2 linked regions of the Mus musculus genome follow. The protein of the gene in region 1 interacts with the protein of each later gene in a pairwise test. Links are inferred from orthologs where the notes say so. Each region holds a gene or a part of one and is shown on either strand. Other genes may lie near its edges. The genes, in order: Sec23b and Hoxa3.

Evidence for each region.
Region 2: the proteins of Sec23b (region 1) and Hoxa3 interact in binary tests that used the Homo sapiens proteins (3 or more experiments, as listed by UniProt). The two-hybrid records come from large-scale screens. The link is inferred for Mus musculus from reciprocal best matches to the Homo sapiens genes SEC23B and HOXA3.

Annotation. Positions count from the first base shown.
Region 1 is NC_000068.7:144,569,628-144,573,443, reverse strand, and holds part of Sec23b (protein transport protein Sec23B), read right to left. Parts: intron 966-3,816; coding exon 842-965; intron 1-841. UniProt on the Homo sapiens protein: Component of the coat protein complex II (COPII) which promotes the formation of transport vesicles from the endoplasmic reticulum (ER).
Region 2 is NC_000072.6:52,168,293-52,171,861, reverse strand, and holds the end of Hoxa3 (homeobox protein Hox-A3), read left to right. Parts: intron 1-1,119; coding exon 1,120-1,922; 3' UTR 1,923-2,800; downstream 2,801-3,569. UniProt on the Homo sapiens protein: Sequence-specific transcription factor which is part of a developmental regulatory system that provides cells with specific positional identities on the anterior-posterior axis.

The sequences.
Region 1 (3,816 bases):
GCTGGAGAACTACCTCAAGGCACAGATGCTTGAGCAGCAGATGCTACATCGTCTGAGCCAGCTCCCTAGCCCTTTCTCTAACAACCTCCACCTCTGCTAAGTAAGCAATCAAGCAGACCCCTTAGACATATAAAAATGCTGCGTAAAGCTTACCCTAGATAATTTAATGCTTTTCTCTAATTCTCTAATCAAGTTCCTAACAGCCCCTTTTCTTGGTTTCTCAATTACTTAAGAGTCTGCTGTCTAGGACCCTGATTTCCCACACAGTATCAGAACACCTGAGTTCCTCTTAAATCTAAATCCCACTCTGCAGTGCAGTGGCTCACACCTATAGCTGGGTGGATACTGACCACGTGTGACTTGCCTGTCATCAAGCCCCAGTACAGCAACCAACGCCCACCCCAAACCCCACTAACTCTCCCTATCCTAAACCAGGGTGGAACAGAGCCGGGCCTGGGGGGAAAGAGGAACTTTCTGTTTAGGACTTTAATAAACACATGGGTAACCCTTGAGAAGCAAACTTTGTGATAACCATCTGGTTGGATCCTTTTAAGTGGTCATTAAAGCTTACGTCTAGCAGCCTAGGCTGCAGTGTCTGAACTGAACCACACTAATGCCAGTGAAGTTTCAAATGTCTGTAATATGGATGAGTACAGTGCAGCACAGAGTCTGAGGCCAGCCTGGTCTATATAGTGATTACAAGTCAGCTGAAGGTACACACAGTGAGACCCTGACTCAGATAAATAATAAATAAATAAATATTTATCATGGACATAGGAAAGTTCTATAAGCTAATTATATAAGATAGTTAAAATACAACTTTTCTAAAAGCCCACTGCACCTTTACATCCAACGTAGCACCAAACGCCATTCTGAAATCTCCGTTGAAGTCTTTACTAAAAATTCTTTGGAATGTCTGCTTGAAAAGAGAAGTGTTGAAAGAATCTCCCATCACCATGTGGCCTCTAGATAAGAAAGGAAGAAAGTATACATTTAAAAGGATTGGAAGTCATTTGGTTGTTCCCTTAAGATTCACAAACAATTTACACACATACACACACACACACACACACACACACACGCATGGGGGTGGGGGGGTGGGGAGGGGGGAGAGCGCCATGTCCGCACAGATGCTACTGATTAACTTAAATGAAAAACAACAAGTTCTATTTGTACTTAGGGAAGAAACCATCTCGAAAACATTAAAGAACCCTTAGAACAGTTCTAGGGGGGTGAGAAGGTGCCTCGGTGGGTAAGGGCACCACTAAGCCTGGTAACTTCAGTTCAATCAATCCTAGGACCCACATGGTAGAGAAGAGGAACCAGCTCCCCACAGGTGGCCCTGACTTCCATACAAGTCCCATAGCATGTATGTGCATCCACATACATACACACACATAAACACATACAAAAGAAGTAGATGTAAAAATCGTTTAAGATGCCAATTCTATATTTTAATCACCATACACAAATGTACAGAGATAGTAAAATCTTGCTGGTTATACTCACAGAGAAATAAAACAAGCACCAGTCTGCAGGAAACCCACAGTCTGCAGTTTTAGTAACTGCACTGTGCCATTTCCATTCTTGAAGCTGAATGATACATTTGGCTTAAGTGCTACCCTCGGGGATGCCAAATGAGGAATGTAAAGACCTCCTCTACACTCCCTTCACATTCACTAGTCCCATGAACCTATAATCATTCCAATAGGTGGTATACTCCTATTCTCCAGAACTTAGGAGGCTGAAGCAGAAGAATTGTAAGCTTGTGGCCATCCAGGGCTACACAGTAAGACCTTAAACAAACAATGCCCCTTCAATCAACAAACTCTTCAGCAAAAATAACTTACTGATTCATTCTCTCTCTCTCTCTCTCTCTCTCTCTCTCTCACACACACACACACACACGCACACGCACACACATGCACACATGAACTGCAGCTGGGGAGTATTTTTGGGTTATCTCTCTTTCTTAGAATTCTTCACCTAAAATATTTTAGCAGTCACCAGCATTTCCTTCCTCCCCATCAGGTGTCTCTAGGTCATCACATACGTATGTATGTATGTATGTATGTATGTATGTACGTACTTACGTCCACCCCAGCCCCCAAATTGAATGGTTAAAAGAAAAAGCATACTATCTCAGCAGAAAAACCCAGCACTAAGGGTTCCCCAGTGATTTTCCAGGAAAACCATCTACTACCCTCTAGTCCAGGCTGGGGTCACTGTGACTTTGCCTGCATTCATCCTCCTAGACCAGAACCTGGACTTCTGTTGTTTTCAAGGCTGTTTTAGTGTTCCCTCCCCCCACCACACACCTCATTACATGTGTCCATCTCCACATATGTGTGTAGTAAGTTTATGTGTGGGTGTACATATGCCATGGAGGGTACAGAGGTCAGAGGACAACCTGCAGGAGTTGGTTGTCTCCTTCCACGTATGAGGACCAGGGACTAAATGTCTCAGACTTGGTGGCAGACAGGTACCTTTCTCTGCTGAGCCATCGTTTTTATTTATTTATTTATTTAAAATATTTATTTATTTATTTATTTATTTATTTATTTTATGTATGTGAGTACACTGTAGCTGTCCTCAGACACACCAGGAGAGGGCATCAGATTCCATTACAGATGGTTGTGAGCCACCATGTGGTTGCTAGGAGTTGAACTCAGGACCTCCAGAAGAGAAGTCAGTCCTCTTAACCCTTGAACCATCTCTCCAGCCGCCTACTGAGCCATCTTGCTAGCACTTGTGCTATTCTTTTTTGTTTTCTTTTGGTAAGGGGGCTTTTCTTTTTAAAGACAACTTCTTGCTATACAGCCCAGGCTAGCCTTGATCACAAGATCCTCCAGAGTATTGGTGTTACAGGTATGCCCACCATCTCTAGTACATCTGACCCACTCCCAAACAGTTTCAAATGACTTAGATCCTATCTTCTATGCCCTCCCCTAAGAGAGCAGAGAAGAATCACTACAGAGGTTGATTAGAAAGGCAGAAGTATGGACCAGGAGTTGGTTCAACAAGTAAAGTGCTTGCCACCAAGCAACCAAAGTTCAATCTGAGTTCCACACAGTAAAGAAAGATAACTAAGATAACTAACTCCCAGTGTCCTCTGACCTCTACATGTCTACATGGCTCTCTCTCTCTCTTATGCTCTCTCTCTCTCTCTCTCTTTCACACACACACACACACACACACACACACACACACACACACACATAAACAAAATTTAAGTTAAAGGGAAAAGAGCTACAGAATCTCCAGCCCCACACATGGCTCTCTGTAGCTATGGCTCCTCGAACTGTGCATTGTATTCCAGTCCATAGGATCTTGGGCAAATGTAGGTTTCGATTCAGCAAGTGGGAAATGAGGGCTAAGAGGACCCTAGAGAAACTAAGGCTGTGTGTGCTCAAACTGTTCTATATTAGAATCACTGGAGGGAAACTGAAGAATGCTGATACCCAAGCCACGATCCGTGTCCATTGCATTAGGCTGTAGGGGGCTGGGGGTGGAGAACATGACAGACACAGCGGCTTCTCTCATTGTCCTTTCACCAGAGTTCCCTAGGCGACACTAATGTGCAGCTGAGCATCAGACTCAGGGATCCACCTCAGTGCTTCTTGCACGTTCAAGAGCACCCAAATCTAGAGCACTGCTCCCCAAGAGCTCTGGATGGAGAGGGTCTGAAGAAAGCCAAAGAACACTCCTAATCATTTCCCAGGAGCCCGAGGTTCTTGATCACCGCAAGCTGAGAATTTATTCTATGTGTTCACTTGAGGACAATAGGACTTGGTAGCAAGTGTACCCCATAAAGTG
Region 2 (3,569 bases), on another chromosome or scaffold:
TTGAGCCTGGTGAAGTTGGAATCCCTCCTTGTTCCAGTGTTGGGAATTCTGACCTCTAGATAGAACCATCTTTAGGACCACTGTCTCTCTAAGCACACAACTCCTTTTTTCCTGGGCAAACAGTGGCATCCTCCCCATACTGAAACGTGGCAGAATAAAAGCAGGCCCACTCATCCCCCGGGTCAGAATCAATGCTTGGTCTATGATCAGAGCCAATGTTTTCTGCAGCAGATGGACTGGCTGCCTTACTTCTGGGAAGGCCTTGCTCAGTCTTAGTACAATGCAGGAGGCAGCCGGGCATCCCCTGGGGGAGGGGATTCGGCTTGTCATCCTAATGGGAACCACATGGGGCTTTGGGAACTGGACTCCAGTGGGGGAGCCTTAGCCTCAGGGACTTGGGTTTCCAAGCCTCTAGGTTACCTTGGCCCCTTCCTCTCTGGTTTCCTTTGCTCTCTCCTCCAGAACTGGTATTTGGGAAGCCAAGGAGGACAGGAGGCACAAATGCAATGGTCCAAATTGGGGCAGCCTTCATGGTGACATTGAGAACCAAATGACCAAGACTCTGTAAGGGTCTGGTAGCTAGAACTAGGTATCTCCAGTGAGGTCTAGTCTCCTTTGGTCAGAGAAGGCCTTCCAGTTTGACAATACCAATCTGTTACTCTTTTCTTGGGAGATACTGAAAAACTGGTTAGTAGAAGCTAATGGCTGGTCACACAGGCAGGATGCATGCATACACTAGGTCTCCTACATTTTCCAGCGACTGAAGGAATCAAGATAGTGGCACCCGCTCACAGGAAGCTTGTTGTCTGATGGGCCAGGAAATAAGCTGGCCGAGTAAAATAGAGAGGAAGTTCAGGCCAGCAAGGCAAGCAGGAGGCTCTGCAGCTCTGTCCTCTCCTTGAAGAAGCCCCTGATTCGCTCCTTAGAGGAAGGAAGGGCAGGCTAACCAGGCTGTTTCCGCAGACCAAGAGAGGACCACAGCACTGAAGTCCTGCTCCTCTCTGGCCTTGGACAGAGGCTTCTGTGGGGTGAAGAAAGGAGGGGCAGGCCTAGGACTGGGGAGCTAGGCGGGGTCGGTAGCAGCCCCTGACACCGCTCTTCCTCTCTGTGTCCTGGCAGGGGAGAGCTGCGCTGGTGACAAGAGCCCGCCTGGGCAGGCCTCGTCCAAGCGCGCGCGCACGGCGTACACGAGCGCGCAGCTGGTAGAGCTGGAGAAGGAGTTCCACTTCAACCGCTACCTATGCCGGCCGCGCCGGGTGGAGATGGCCAACCTGCTGAACCTCACCGAGCGCCAGATCAAGATCTGGTTCCAGAACCGCCGCATGAAGTACAAGAAAGACCAGAAGGGCAAAGGCATGCTGACCTCGTCTGGGGGCCAGTCCCCAAGTCGGAGCCCTGTGCCTCCCGGTGCAGGAGGCTATCTGAATTCTATGCATTCGCTGGTCAACAGTGTCCCATATGAGCCCCAGTCACCCCCTCCTTTCTCCAAGCCTCCCCAAGGCGCCTATGGGTTGCCTCCGGCCTCCTACCCTGCTCCCCTGCCCAGCTGCGCTCCCCCACCTCCCCCACAGAAACGCTACACAGCGGCGGGGTCAGGCGCAGGGGGCACCCCTGACTACGACCCGCATGCTCACGGCCTGCAGGGCAATGGCAGCTATGGGACCCCACACTTACAGGGAAGCCCCGTCTTCGTAGGGGGCAGCTATGTGGAGCCCATGAGCAACTCTGGGCCACTCTTTGGCCTAACTCACCTCCCCCACACCACCTCGGCTGCCATGGACTACGGGGGCACTGGGCCGCTGGGCAGCGGACACCACCATGGGCCGGGGCCTGGGGAGCCACACCCCACCTACACGGACCTTACTGCCCACCATCCTTCTCAGGGAAGAATTCAGGAAGCGCCCAAGCTCACCCACCTGTGATGATGGGCCCAGGGCTGTGAGCCAGGAGAGTTGCCCACCCGACCTTCTTTGGTTACTTTTTCCTTTTTTTGTTTTGTTCTATGTTCTTGCCTTTCCCTTTTCTCCTCTGCACCCCTCCCTCATTTTGTTTTCTTTGGTAATGCGTTTTTATAGTTTATGTGACGTAGCAATCTTGGTTGCTGGAAAGGCTGTCAGTATCAGTAGCAACATTTACCACCACCCCTCCTCGCCCTGGCCTCTGGCCCTGCATCCTTTTCCTTCTCTACTCTTTGATAAGAAACAGGGTATATGAACAAACTTTCTAGTCGAGTTTTCAATGTGAATTTGTTCATACTTTATGGCTCCCGAGAGGAAGCAACTGCGTTTTTTTTTTTTAAGTTTTAGTTTTTAAAATTGCACTTCTTGTACTGATCGAGAAAAAGAAATCAAAGGCGCTTTGAAACAGGGACTCCCTGTGCAAAGATGACTACGTGTACGTCTTTCCGTGTGTGTGTGCTTGTGAACAGTCAGATTTATTTATATTTTTTGCAAGCATTGAATAGTCTAAGTTTTAAATATTATTTATCCCCATCCGTTCGTATTTATATTAAAGAAATTCTGTACCCTGATTGTTCAGAAGGTTTCTTGAGCCTTTTGTTCAATGGTGTATTGGCATACATATAAAATTTATTTGAAAGGGAAATAAAATTCCTTTATTAAAAACCGTAGCAATGCAATAAGAACAGAGAGGACCCAGAGTTTGAAAATAGTGGTTTAGGTTTGTAACATCTGGCCAAACTGAACGCTAAAAATGCTAGATTTGTTTTGAGAGTTTTACATTCCTTGCTGCTCACATTCTGAGAAACAAAACAAAAAAAATAAAGTTTTTATTCTGATTACGATCCGTGTCAAAGGGGGTTCTTTGGCTGGACACGGGTCTCTGCGTGGAGTTCTGGCAGAAGCGAACTGTCAGCGGCTGCGGCAGCACCGCGACTCTGGCGTGAGGCCTGGTCCAGCGTCTGCCTTGGAAGCTCGGCGAGTTCTGGGGATAGAGGCCGCGGTTTCAAGTGGCTGCCGCAGCTCGGGAAATGCCAGGCTCCCGGCCCGCTGAGCTGCCTGGTTCCCAGCTGCCGCCCAAGCAGGGCGCCAGGCTGCTAAGTGCAGAGCGGCCTGGCAGAAACAAAGGCGGCCGGCCTCGGGCTCAGCGGGGGGCGCACAGGTGCGGGACGCCGACACCAAGAACCCGGGGCTCCTCTCCATTCCCCCGCACCGAAAGCCCATCGGCCAAGGCCTCAACCTTGGAACCGCACAAGGTCTTAAGCTCTTCCCACAAGCTATCGAATTCCAGGTCTCCACTGAGGATGCTTCGCGGTTCATTATCACGCCTAAAGAAGATGGGGGGGACGGGACTCTTCTAAATTCACCTCAAAAGGGACCTACTCTCCCTTAGGTCTCCAGAAAAAGGACTGAGCTTCATAGTCCTCCAGGTCTTCCTTGTATTGGAAGGAATCCCTTCCATGAATCTCAGCATCAAATTCCTCCCGGAATTCAGCATCTGCCATTCTGTGGATTTATTTCCTCTCTTTTTATGGCCCCAGGGGGAGGAGGAGAGAGAAAGGAGATTGGTATCTTTCTAATAAAAATGCAATTGTACAAGTACTTCTTTCA